Neurospora crassa OR74A: one gene and its partners. The protein of the gene in region 1 purifies or fractionates together with the protein of each later gene. This does not show direct contact. Links are inferred from orthologs where the notes say so. Each region holds a gene or a part of one and is shown in the gene's direction. Other genes may lie near its edges.

What was found.
Region 2: the proteins of NCU01675 (region 1) and NCU08968 purify together in Saccharomyces cerevisiae (affinity purification with mass spectrometry; 5 studies listed by BioGRID, with this or other methods). This does not show direct contact. The link is inferred for Neurospora crassa OR74A from reciprocal best matches to the Saccharomyces cerevisiae genes RRP12 and DIM1.
Region 3: the proteins of NCU01675 (region 1) and stk-52 purify together in Saccharomyces cerevisiae (affinity purification with mass spectrometry; 3 studies listed by BioGRID). This does not show direct contact. The link is inferred for Neurospora crassa OR74A from reciprocal best matches to the Saccharomyces cerevisiae genes RRP12 and RIO1.

What each region holds. Positions count from the first base shown.
Region 1 is NC_026502.1:2,739,127-2,744,620, reverse strand, and holds the start of NCU01675 (90S preribosome component RRP12), read left to right. Parts: upstream 1-2,190; 5' UTR 2,191-2,286; coding exon 2,287-2,358; intron 2,359-2,500; coding exon 2,501-5,494. Other genes in the region: NCU01674 (alpha-soluble NSF attachment protein), read left to right, coding at 661-693, 767-890, 979-1,285, 1,359-1,773. UniProt on the Saccharomyces cerevisiae protein: In association with GSP1, required for nuclear export of both pre-40S and pre-60S ribosomal subunits. Required for the late maturation of the 18S and 5.8S rRNA of the pre-40S ribosomes and for maturation of the 25S and 5.8S rRNA of the pre-60S ribosomes.
Region 2 is NC_026505.1:5,864,622-5,868,292, forward strand, and holds NCU08968 (dimethyladenosine transferase), read left to right. Parts: upstream 1-1,400; 5' UTR 1,401-1,648; coding exon 1,649-2,437; intron 2,438-2,495; coding exon 2,496-2,871; intron 2,872-2,933; coding exon 2,934-2,965; 3' UTR 2,966-3,171; downstream 3,172-3,671. Other genes in the region: NCU08967 (arrestin domain-containing protein), read right to left, coding at 1-835; NCU08969 (hypothetical protein), read right to left, coding at 3,525-3,671. UniProt on the Saccharomyces cerevisiae protein: Specifically dimethylates two adjacent adenosines in the loop of a conserved hairpin near the 3'-end of 18S rRNA in the 40S particle.
Region 3 is NC_026503.1:5,215,472-5,219,483, reverse strand, and holds stk-52 (serine/threonine-protein kinase RIO1), read left to right. Parts: upstream 1-1,212; 5' UTR 1,213-1,458; intron 1,459-1,590; 5' UTR 1,591-1,603; coding exon 1,604-3,235; 3' UTR 3,236-3,722; downstream 3,723-4,012. UniProt on the Saccharomyces cerevisiae protein: Required for the final endonucleolytic cleavage at site D converting 20S pre-rRNA into the mature 18S rRNA. Required for the final steps of cytoplasmic maturation of the 40S ribosomal subunit.

The sequences.
Region 1 (5,494 bases):
CGATCACAGCCCGCTAAAGTGATCATCCCCCCAATACTCGTGCTCCGCCCCCACTTTTTTGGATCTCGCCAAACTCGCACCAACTAAAGTTGGTGCTCACGACTGCAACGGCCACACCACCACAACGGCCACCATAGTGAGCATAGTTCAGCATCAAGATATCAGAAGCTTGTAACTCATCACAACAACCAATTGAGATAAGTAAAATACTATAAGTATAATTAGGGAAGTACATCGTATATAGGAAGCATTTTTCTGCTTAGAAAAGCCAATACATTAGAAAGATTATGTTTCTGGCCTATAAATCAAGCCCGAAATTGCACCTCTAACCCTAACCTGGCCGTTGCGCTGGTGTGGCCGTTGCAGTCGTGAGCACCAACTTTAGTTGGTGCGAGTTTGGCGAGACCCAAAAAAGTGGGGGCGGAGCACGAGTACCGGCCAACCCCCCAATCCCATGCCCGCATACCTTACCCCGGGAGACAACGAAACACCTCGGGCTCCTGCAACCACCAACACGACACCATCCCGACCAACACCTGAGCTTCTTCGAGCGCGCCCGATTCCGAACAATTGGGACACCCATCAATCGGCTTCATACAGCGGACGCGACTCCAACTTAGAACTTTGCCCATCTATATACCGTCTAATAACTTGCCCTTCATGGCTGTCGATCCGCGCGTTCTCCAACAAGAGGTTTGAAACCTGCCCCTCCTGGCACCTCCTGACACTTTCGCGACACCTTGCTGATGCCGAATGCGAACACCAGGCAGAGAAGACCCTCGCGAGCGCGTCCAAAGGCTGGGGTCTGTTCGGAAACAAGGAAGACAAGTACCAAAATGCGGCGGATCAGTACATACAAGCGGCCAACGCTTTCAGGTTGCAGAAGTCAAGTACGTCATCACAATCATCAACACCCACGATGCGCTTTCGGGCCATATGAACCTCGCGGCAAGTCCTAACGTTCTGCCCACTACCCAGACACCGAGGCCGGCAAGTGTTTCGAGGAAGCTGCCAAGATCTTCACTGAGAAGTTGAAGGAGCCCAACGATGCGGCGAATGCCATGTTGGACGCCTTCAAGGTCTATAGGAAAGATGCCCCGGATAATGCTGTGCGCTGCGTCGAGGTTGCCATCAAGCAGTATACCATGGCGGGGAACTTCCGGAGAGCTGCGTCGCACAAGGAGAACCAGGCTGAGGTCTACGAAAACGAGCTGCAGAATAAGCCAGAGGCTATCAAGGCCTATACAACTGCGGCCGAGTGGTATGAGAACGACGGTGCTGTCGCGTAAGTGATTAATGCCCACGGCTTTTGCGCCATGTTACGAGTCCAACAGGTCGTTCTAACCAGCTGTGTGTAGTCTTGCGAACAAGCTGTGGCTCAAGGTGGCCGACCTCTCTGCCCTCGCGGGCGACTTTTTCGCCGCTATAGAGAAGTTCGAGAAGGTTGCGGAGGCTTCACTCGGCAACAACCTGATGAGGTACTCGGTCAAGGAGTACTTCCTCAAGGCCGGTCTCTGCTCCTTGGCGACCAAGGATATGGTCACTGCTCAGCGTAACATCACCAAGTATGCCGAGAAGGACCCATCATTTACGGGCCAGCGCGAATACCAACTCCTGGTTGACTTGTTGGAAGCAGCCTCAAACAACAACCTCGAGATGTTCCAGGATAAGCTTGCCGCGTACGATAAGATGAGCCGGCTCGATGACTGGAAGGCGGCTGTTCTTCTCCAGATCAAGAACAACTTTGAGGAGGCAGACAACGAGTTTTCATAAACAGGGTGGAGGAACTTGTGATATACAGCCATTTATCACTTTCTGGTTTCCTTCTTTCCTTTTTCTTTTCTTTGTTATCGTACCGGCGTTTTCTGGTTGGGAGGGGGATGAACTGTCATATCATGAATACGGTCATCGACGCTTTGGTGATTTACGGAAGACCCAAACAAACCTGCTGTCTGGGGTAGAGATGGGCTTAAAGCAATAGAAACTTGTTCCTAGTGGGTACGCGTTGTTCGTACGATCCAACATGAATTGTTGTATCTCATAACCTTGATGGCTGCCCAAGCGAAACATAGGTACCTCTATAAGCATGAGATGCCATAGCTAACCCTGGAGTTACAGTTGGGAGCCGCTTCGGACTAGCGCCAGACCCTTATCAATGACAGCGGGTGGGGCGTGCGCGCCGATAAGCGACAACTTTTCGAACTTTTCTGTTCTTCATGACATCGATTTCAGCACTGCGAAGCGGCTTGCATTGTCCCACTCCAGCGCCATTCCATCACATTCACGATGGCTTCTTCTCCGTCTTTGCAGGAGAAACTGGACAAGATTCGGTCTCCGAATCTCCAGAGCCAGAAGCAGGTAAGCCAGAGTCATGATGCATCTCTCCTTTTTCCATCTTTTGTCTTCTGCATCCCTACCCTCTTCCTTCCAGCCTGCCATTGCAGTGGCCTGTCGCAAGGCCGCCTCCATCGTGGACAATGGACCCTGACTTGAGCCACAGACTGCCAGTGTCCTCGAGGCTATCGAGGCCACCTTCAAGGAGCGCAATACACCCGCGACTCCTACCGCCTACTTCGCTGCCCTTCTCAGTCTACTCAACAACGAAAACCTCGCGACCCCCGTCGTCTACCTCCTCGATGTCGTCACTCCCTTCGCTCCAAAGCCTATTCTTCAGGCCAAGTTCACTCAGATCATCACCATCCTCGCGCCAGTACTATCCCTCCCCGATGCCGATGCTCCCCTCATGAGGGCCTCGATCGGCTCTCTCGAGAGCTTGCTCCTTGCTCAAGATGCGACACAGTGGGAGCTCGGTACCGCCCAGATTGGCCCCCGCCGGGCTGTGGCCGGCCTCCTCGCCCTTGCCCTCGACCCGCGTCCCAAAGTCCGCAAGAGAGCCCAGGAAGCGCTCAGGAACATCCTGAAGAACCCTCCGCCGAGCCCGTCTCTCGACCACCCCGCCGCCCCCATGTGCGCCGAGACAGCCATGCAGAGCCTCCGTCTTGTCGCTGACAAGGCCGCCGCCCAGAGGAAGGAAAAGAAGACTACCGACTCTACCCACGATCCCGAGCTTATCCACGCCTTGCAACTCGTCAAGGCTGTCGCCTCTGGAAGCGGTGGCTGGCCCAGCAAGAGCATTGAGTCTTTGTGCGAGCTCCTTCTCAGCATTGCCCGGACGGGCAACGAGCACATGAGCATGGCTGTCTTCGAGATCTTCGAGATGATGTTCGAGGGCATGGCCGCCGACGAGGTTGCCTCCGCCAAGCTTCCTCGGCTGCTCGAGATCATCAGAGAGCTCCGTCCCGCGCCCAACGATACCCAGCTTCTCCCTCCCTGGATCGCCATTCTGTCGAGAGCCTACGATGTTGCCGGTCAGATTTCGCCCGCCGAGACCTTCCAAGAGCTGGTCGATCCTTTCACTCTGGTTGCAGGATACCTCGAGTCCCAGCACAAGAATATTCGCGTTTCGGCGTCCGAGTGCTTGGTCTCCTTCCTGGCCAACTGTGTCCCCAAGGAGGCCATCCTTGAGCCTTCGATTTTTGACGAGAAGGTCATTCAGCAACTAGTCAAGGTTGTCGAGGGCCTTCTCACCGTCCAGTACCAAGCTGCCTGGATGGAGACTTTCAACGTTCTTGGTGCCATGTTCGATGCCTTTCGGTGGCAGGCTAACCCTTACCTCCTTTCCGTCGTCAAGAGCATCGGCGAAATCCGCGGTAACGATTCTTTCGCTGGAAAGCAGGAAGCCGACGAGGTCCTTGGCAAGGCGATTCGTGCAATGGGTCCTGAGGCGGTCTTGAATGTTCTTCCCCTGAACCTCGCGAAGCCCGTCAAGGGTCAGCCTGGCAGAGCTTGGATGCTTCCTCTTCTCCGTGACTACACCTCCAACACCAATCTTGCACACTTCAAGAGCGAATTGGTTCCTCTCAGTGCTATCATGTTCCAGCGTGTGATTGAGCACCAGGGCGAGAAGAACATTCACATCAAGATTTTCGAGACTGTTGTTCAGCAAATTTGGTCGATTCTTCCCGGCTACTGCGACCTTCCACTTGATCTTGTCGAGGCCTTTGACACAGGCTTCGCTGAGATGTTGACCAACCTTTTGTATGAGCAGGTTGACCTGCGCTTGGATATTTGTCGCGCCCTCAGGACCGTTGTTGAGTCCAACCAGGCCATCGCCACTTCCGATGAGGTCGATGACCTCATTCTCTTTGGCAGGGTCAGCAAGGAGCAGGCGCAGAAGAACTTGGAGTACCTCGGAGCCACCTTTGCAGCTGATTTCCTCGCTGTTCTCTTCAACGTCTACAGCACCACTCTCCCCCAGAAGCGCGGCCCTGTCCTCCAGACCATCAACGCCTACCTCAGCATCATCCCTCCCGCGCGTCTTACCGAGACTTTCGACATGGTGTGCGAGAAGCTCGCCGAGGCTCTTCAAGAGGCTGTTGAGAAGAAGCCCCAACAACAGCAGAAGGCCGATCACATGCCTTCTGCCGCGCACACTCTCATGGACCTGGTCGTTACCATGTCTATCTACCTCCCCCGTGCCAGCTTCGAGGCTCTTTTTAAGATCGCTTCAGTGGTCATCTTCAAGGATGATGACCCTCAGCTGCAGAAGAAGGCTTACAAGCTCATTCCTCGCTTGGCGGATTCCCCCATCGGCAAGGCCGCCCTCGAGGAGAGACATGGCGAGCTCCAAACCCTGTTCCTGTCCAGCTCTGAGAAGGTGTCGGCACCTGCCCGGAGAGAGCGCCTGGCTGCCATTGCTGCTCTGATTCACTTCATCCCCAACGATTCCCTGCACTTCATTCCCTCCATTCTTTCAGAGGTTGTCATTGGCTGCAAGGAGCACAACGAGAAGGCTCGCACTACCGCCTTCGACCTTCTGGTTCTCCTTGGCCAGAAGATGGTTTCTGCTCAGGGCTCTTTGATCGATAACAGCAAGGTCCCTCACATGCCCGCGGATGCTCCTGCGGCTACCGCCTCTATTGAGGAGTTCTTCACCATGGTCAGTGCCGGTTTGGCTGGCAGTACCCCCCACATGATTTCGGCCTCTATCACTGCCATTACCCGCGTTCTTTATGAGTTCCGCGAGACCGTCAGTAAGGAAACACTGTCCGACCTTGTCCAGACCATGGACCTCTTCCTTACTTCCAACAACCGCGAAATCGTGAAGAGCGTTCTTGGCTTCGTCAAGGTCTGCATCATCAGTCTGCCCACCGAGATGATGACACCCCGCCTTCCCACACTCATTCCCAACGTCATGGTTTGGAGTCACGAGCACAAGGGCCATTTCCGCTCCAAGGTCAAGCACATTATCGAGCGTATGATCCGTCGCTTTGGCTTTGAGGCCGTTAGCAAGTACTGTCCCGAGGATGACAGGAAGTTGATTGTCAACATCCGCAAGACCAAGGAGCGCGCGAAGAGGAGAAAGGAGGCCGGCAAGGAGGCCGGTGAGGGTTCGGACGACGAGGCCGGCGGCAGAAAGGCCAGCCGGTTCGAG
Region 2 (3,671 bases), on another chromosome or scaffold:
CTTCGGGCTCCGTTGCAAGTTTTCCATCAGCCGTTGTTGTTGTTGTTGTTGGGGCTGAAGATGACCCTGCATTGCTACTCCCAGTCCACCCGCTGAAGAAAGAAGCTCGTTTCTTGGAAGACGCGTTTGTCCTTGGGCTTCGTGGACGGAATGCAAAGGGTCGTCTGGCATAGGCTTCGTGGTTCGTCTTGGGCGGCCTTGGAGGCTCAATAGGAAGGAATTTCAAGCCGGTCTGCATCCTCCAGTTCTCCTTGAAAAAGCCCGGTCTCTGAATGGTAACCTTGACATAGTATCGAATCTCGCACTGGCCTGGGAATCCGGTGAAACTGGGTGGGAGCGTCTTTGTGACATGGGAGTACATCAGCTGCTTGGTGCCGTCCATAACACGAATGCCACCGAGACCGAACAAGCCAGAACCCGACGCGATTCCACCGGCACCAGAAAGGCCTCCTAGTTTGGCCATGGCGACAGGATCACCACAAGCATTGTTGAAGGGAAACTTGAACTGGAAGGGGAATCTGTGTTGACCAGCGGCTAGGACATAGGGCTGTGGCAAGGCGTTGGTCTTCTCGTCGGGAAAGGCCTGGGTGACTTTGTATAGGATCTTGTGGTTCTCGTAGATAACATCGCCGGTTGGAGTGCGCTCCCTCTGAGCAATGCCGGTCCCTGAGCCATCGGCGGGTACTCCCAAGGCCGACTTGGCTTCACCCTCGAGTTTGACGATGATGCCTCCGATCTGTTCGGGACGACTGAGAGTGAGGACGACCTGGCCGCGGATAATATCCAGGTTTGTGTAGAACTCGGGAGGGTTTTCGAGGGCGATCCGTATCGACATGGTTGCGATTGATTATCGTCAACTTCAACAGAGAAATGAGGCTATCACCACATGAACCAAAACAACAAGGAATAACCAGTGGGTCACACGCCCAGGTATGAGCCAAGGAGAAGATGATGGAAAAGAATCTGTTATTTTTTTTTTACAATCCGATTTCCTCGAACCTTGGGAGGGGGTTGGTATTATAGGTAGGTAGATGAAAATTCAAAGCCACTGCCTGTCTGCTTCGATGTGATCAGCTTCACACGGCAGTTAGGTGATGACGGGGAAGACCCTCACTGAAAGACCGGAGGATTTGCCGTTTAAGTGCTGGGTAGCAATTTGAACCCGCCGCACATGTTTAGGGCGGCCTCCGCTGTTACGTCAGACGGGGAATCATCGGTCGGAAGTGGCCGAGGTGCCTGGATTCCACTGATGTTTCCAGTGGGCTGGGCCGCCGCCGCCGCCCGCATGGTGTCTCAATGGGGAAAGCGGTCAGCCTTTTGCTTATCTTATCAGCCACATGTCTGGCGGGGCATCTTTTTTTCTGCCGCCTGATCCACTCAAAAAAAAGATGTCGGCCGGGGTCCGGCGCAGGCACAAGGAAGCTCTCTTCAGCCTGCGGTACCTCTGTCCGTCTCACAATAGAGGTACATACTACAGCCATTGCGCGACTGCCGTGACTTGAGAACGAACCGCCCAAGTCTCGACCCGGACAGAGATCGACCGAAACGACGAAACCCTCCATCGATCCCCCAACCTTCTCGTCCGACCTCGATTCCGAGTCGTCTTCCTCCACACACCTACCCACGACAGCATTGACTAGACTACACCATGCCCAAGGCAGCGAAGGCGTCCAAGAAGTCGGGGGGCGGCGGCAACCCCTACGATCGCAAGGGGGGCGGCGGCGGCGGCAAGGCTACCAACACCAACATCTTCAAGTTCGACAAGGACTTTGGCCAGCATATCCTCAAGAACCCCGGTATCTCGGATGCCATTGTCGACAAGGCCTTCCTCAAGCCCACCGATGTCGTCGTCGAAGTCGGTCCCGGTACCGGCAACATCACGGTCCGCGCCCTTGAAAAGGCAAAGAAGGTCATCGCCATCGAGCTCGATCCTCGTATGGGTGCCGAAGTTACCAAGCGTGTCCAGGGCACTCCGCTAGCCAAGAAGCTCGAGGTCATTCTCGGCGATGTCATCAAGATGCCCGAAATGCCTCCATGCGACGCTCTCATCTCCAACACTCCCTACCAAATTTCCAGTCCGCTCATCTTCAAGATGTTGGCCATGCCCAACCCGCCCCGCGTCGCCGTACTCATGTTTCAAAGAGAATTCGCAAAGAGACTGGTGGCTCGGCCGGGTGATGCTCTCTACTCGAGATTGAGTGTCAATGTCAACTTCTGGGCCACATGCAAGCACATCATGAAGGTCGGCAAGCAGAACTTCAAGCCTCCTCCCAAGGTCGAGTCCGACGTCGTCAGAATTGAGCCCCTTGTTGGTTCGGCGCGCCCCAACATTGCTTTTGAGGAGTTCGACGGTCTCCTTCGCATTGCTTTCAACCGCAAGAACAAGACCCTTTATGCCGGCTTCAACCAGAAGGAGGTCCTCAACATGTGCGAGAGGGTACGTTTCTTCCCATGTGTTCACAAGCTCCAACTCTTACTGACCACTTCGTTTCCAGAACTACAAAGTCTACTGCACCCTCAACAACATCCCCATCGACGAGTCCCTCGCTTCCGCGGCTGACCTTGCTGCCGCCGGCGCCACCAACGATGCCATGGACGTCGAGATGGACGACGACAACGAAGACAATGATAACGAAGAGAACAACGACGATGACGAGGCTATGGAGGAGGATGAGGACGAGGACATGCCCGTCTTCTTCAAGGAGCAAAACGACGCCAACGCTAAGGACGCCAAGACACCTAGCAAGAACCCCAAGTCCAAGGTGGCCTTGATAGTCAAGGCCAAGTTGAACAAGGTGCTTACGAGCACCGGTTTGGCGGACAAGAGAGCTAGGCAGTGCGATCAGAACGATTTCCTCAAGCTGTTGCTTGGTACGTTTTCTTCCCCCTCGGCTTCCCTTTCTGATGGACAACCTCGCTAACACTCCTGACAGCGTTCCACGAGGAGGGTATTCACTTCTCTTAGACGTGTGTTATTATTGCGAACACGCACAGAAATCATCGGCGTACGGGGCGTTTTTTGGGGATTGGGAAAATGTCGTTTTTTAAAAATTCTTTGTTTTGTTCCATTTGTCGTGGAAATACCATTGATCTGGATGCTAGGATTTGCACAATCATAAAAGCCAATGAATCTGGCTGCCACTTTTGCCAGGAATCGAACCATAATCATCTTTCGTTTGGATTGCTTGAGCGTCGGATGTTGTTCTCTTCGTCACGTTGCTCAAACATTGCTGAGAAGCAATTGCTGACAATACCAGACCTACCGCATCGAGATGTCTTTTATAATAAAACCATGGATCGGGGGAGTGGTCAGTGACCTACGGGACCGAGTCCTTGGAGTAACAGGGAAACGGAAAGCACAGGAGAGCAAGCTGTTTTCCTACCCTACCTCTCTCAGTAACAGGCGCCGAGTGCGTCGTTACCAAGCCAGAAAGCGTGGAAGCCTTCTTTCGATAGCTTGTCAGTTGTTCAAAACCATTGAAGAGGGGCAAAGAAAAAGAAGAAGAACAAATGGTGACCGCAACTTATATTTTGGAAAGCACGACACTGGATACTAAAATGTGTCGCCGTTCTTGTCCTTCTCTCCTCCACTCCTCCATTCTTCGACCTCCATCCTCCGCACCCAACACCCATAGCCCAAAAACCACGAAGGTCTCAGCACCCATGCCATC
Region 3 (4,012 bases), on another chromosome or scaffold:
AGAAGCGAATGTTCGACATGAAATGGGGCAGAGCATCAAAGCAATCTATGGAAACTCCGAGCATAAAACAAAGTTTCCGAATAGATCTCTAAGGCCCCGGGTGACCTTGACCCAAATGACTAAATATCCCCCTAGCAACCTCATCGCCATTACTGTTCCCATACCAATCATGCTGCGGCCGAGCAAAGGGGACACAGCTCATCAATCCGTCTTGAAACGAATAAGTCAGTCATCAACACCCGCTTGCGGGTTGGGCAGTCGCTGCTACTGGCATAGCAGTAAACCCGTCTTCTAGTGCGCTCGAACCATCGTCGGTACAGCTGCCCTTGCTCGTTGACCCAGCCATAGCCGGCTGGACAATCGGCGCCATTACGGCAAAAGTGATGTTCCATGTAGGAGTGGCACATGGTGAGTGAAGTTGTGAGCCCGTTTAGGCAAGGCTGGAATCCCGATGGGGGTTGCCGGAATAAAATAAAAAGGGAATTGGGAGACGCGCCTACCTATTGGATGTTGGAAACTGTGGCCCTGTGCTATTATATGCTCCGTGTTGACATCAAGTTGCGGCTCACACATGATGTAAATATGTTCATTCCTGAACTCGGGTGGTCGATGACCCATTATCCGTTTGTTGACGTGGGAGTCATCAACGACCATGAATCGAATCATCTAAACGCGTCATGTCAATGTATGCCTGCAGGATGAGGTGGAAGCAGGCCAGAAGGTCGTGATGGGTTTACTTTGATTGCAAGTCTCCATCGTTTCCATTGATGAGACGCAAATATCCAGAGGTCATATACCAGATTTGACCGTGAGTAAAATGGAATGTAAGAAGGATGATGTTAGGTTTCCCTGTAATTACCCGGGACCATGGTGTCCATTGCTAGCTTGATGACTTTGGGGATCGGCCTATGCCCCATGGGTGGAGAATTGGCTTTTGGGTGGTCGCCCCTTTTGAGCACTAACAGCTGGGTTCTGTCCAACAGGGAAGCGTACACTGGGTGCTGTTAGTGCTGTTGGCGTTGATTGAGTCACCGGCAGAAGTAGGTGTGTTCCGCACCGTGTTGAGATGTCGAAGATGCAAACCAAAGCTCAAGGAATGAATGTGGAAGTGGAATGAATCAGAATGATAGCGTCAGCATCATCGCCTAGCGTACTAACTATTAGGCGACAAGCTCACTCCAGTGGCAAACTGGTCGCCATCGGTGCAGGGGTGCAATGTCTGTACTCGGAGAGGCAAGAAAAGATGTTATGAATGCTGAAGCCTAAAGTGAGCCGAAGACTACTTAACAAGCAGCCATATCATGTGGAACGGAAACATCCAAGAACATCTTCAGTTCCATTCCAATCCGTCTTCGAGTCGAGTCGTCGTCAAGAACTCGATACTCACGGATTACCCTAACCCTGAATCTCGAAAACAGCCCTACCACTGGAAGACACCCCGCATTACGATAAGATAAGGTAAGCTCGCCCCACCAAGAAAATTGCCAGTGGACGGGAAGTGGAAGTTCGCAAGTTCCATGACGATTTCCATTTCGTCTGCCATCCTGTCTCATCACCACCTGCTGATATCGGCGGAACTGACGAAAGCAGACTCGGCAGCAAGATGGCGTCCCAACCAGAACTCACGTCGACCACAGCGGCGACCGACAACCAGAATGTCGACCTCAGCAACACCACCGCCCAGCTCAACAACCTTGCGATCGAAGAGGAAGACGACGACGACGACCTCCAAGATGTCTTTGAATCCGACGATGACCTCGACTACGAAGATGGCGGCACCGACCTGACCAAGTCGTACAACCGCCAACAACATGGCGCCGGTGCTACCAACTCTCAGCAGTCCCAAGCTCAGGCCCAGCAACAAAAACCCACAGCCAACACGTCGGCCCGCGTCGACGACCAGATCGCCGCCCTCTCCAAGTTCGCCGGAAAGATCCGCATCGACGCCTTCGACAATGCCTCCGGTCCCGCCGAGCGCAGCAAAGACAAGTCCGATCGCGCCACCTCCGAACTCGTCCTCGACCAGCGCACGCGCATGATCCTGCTGCAGATGATCAACCAGGGCTTTGTCTCCGAGATTCACGGCGCCATCAGCACGGGCAAGGAAGCCAACGTCTACGGTGCCATACTCCACCCCGAGGATGGCTCGGCCCCCATACACAAGGCCATCAAGATCTACAAGACGGCCATTCTGGTGTTCAAGGATCGCGAGAAGTACATTACTGGTGAACACCGCTTCAAGAGCGGCAGTGAAAAGGGAAACAACAGGAAGATGGTCAAGCTCTGGGCCGAAAAGGAATTCAGAAACCTGCGCCGTTTGTACACAGCCGGCATCCCCTGCCCGGAGCCCATCAAGCTCAAGCTGCACGTGCTCGTCATGAGCTTCTTGGGAGATCGCAAGGGCTGGGCCTACCCCCGTTTGCGCGACGCTCCCATCTCGGGCGACGACGCCGATGAACAATGGCGCGACCTCTACATCCAACTCCTCGGCCTCATGCGCAAGCTGTACCAAGTCTGCCGCCTCGTCCACGCCGATCTGTCGGAATACAACATCCTCTACAACAACAAGAAGCTCTACATCATTGATGTTTCCCAATCCGTCGAGCACGACCATCCCCACTCGCTCGAGTTCCTGCGTATGGATATCAAGAACGTCGGCGATTTCTTCAGGAGGAAGGGTGTCGACACGCTCTCAGACCGCACGATTTTCGATTTCATCGTCAACCCCAAGGGACCGGCCGAGGAACCCGGTATGAAGGAGACGGTCGAACAGCTGTACCAGACGAGGGTGGAGGTGGAGGATACCGCGGAGGCCAGGGCCGAGCAGGAGGTCGACAATGAGGTTTTCAGAAACCAGTACATCCCCAAGACGCTGAACGAGGTTTACGATATCGAGAAGGATGTCGCCAAGGTAAACGAGGGTCAAGGAGAGGATTTGGTATACAAGAACCTGTTGGCGGATCAAGTGGTGCACAAGACGGCGGAGGATCAGGAAGAGGAGGAGTCTGATGAGGAGGAGGAGGGCAGTGGTGACGAAGAGGAGGGTAGTGATGACGAGGATGACGAGAGCCGATTCGAAAAGGGAACACCAAGAGGCAAGAGGTTCATCGACAAGGACGAAAAGAAGCAGCACAAGGCGGCGGTTAAGGAGGCCAAGAGGGAGAAGAGGAAAGAGAAGATACCCAAGGCGATGAAGAAGAAGTTGGTGAACAGCACGTCGAGGAGGAAGCACTAAGCTGTGGTCGTCTACAAGTATCAGCTTTTCTTGGTTTCTTTCTCTTGTCTTGTTTGCTAATGGGCTCGGGTATGGCTTCTATGGCGCTAAAAGAATAATGGATCATGTCATCTTCCAGCCTGCGTATCCTGCTTTGATGCGTTTGGCGTTTCTCTCTCATACCTCACCCCATCCCGTTTGATCTGGCTACACTTTTGGCCATCATCCCTTGCGACACAGACGCAGCAAGTAAAGCAACCGGATGATGAAAGCAGTAAAGCCTGCCTGAGATTGTCGTCTCCTCAAACGAGCTTGTAATGGTTTTGCCTGTTTTCAGGGCGAAGCCTCCTGCTTTCGAGTAGAGACACTTTCTCAGAAGGCAGGTCTGAGTCGCTGGCGAGCCACCTAAAGAGTGGTCAAGCCGGGCTATGACGACCAAAGAGAGCACTGACGGTCTGCTCCCATACTGGGCGCCTATTAATCCCATGGAGATTCCAGTAGTCTCCTGTTGCCTTTAATATGTACTTATAAAGAGGAAGATGCCTCTACTATACGCTCCCCATTCCCCTTTCTTTATTTCTCCTTTTTTTTATCCCCTCAGTAGATGTTTCCAGTGGTGATATATTTTGAGAGGGCCGGAGTTGCGCTGTGGCGGGAGGGACCTTTCAGGAACGTCGGAGCTTCTTACTTTCAGTGGATGAAAGTAAAAGGCTTCTTTACATATCTTTCGAGATTGACGGCCAACCTCATAGCCAACTTCAGTTTTTGCGTCAACCTGGTAAGCGTTTCTGGAAGGGG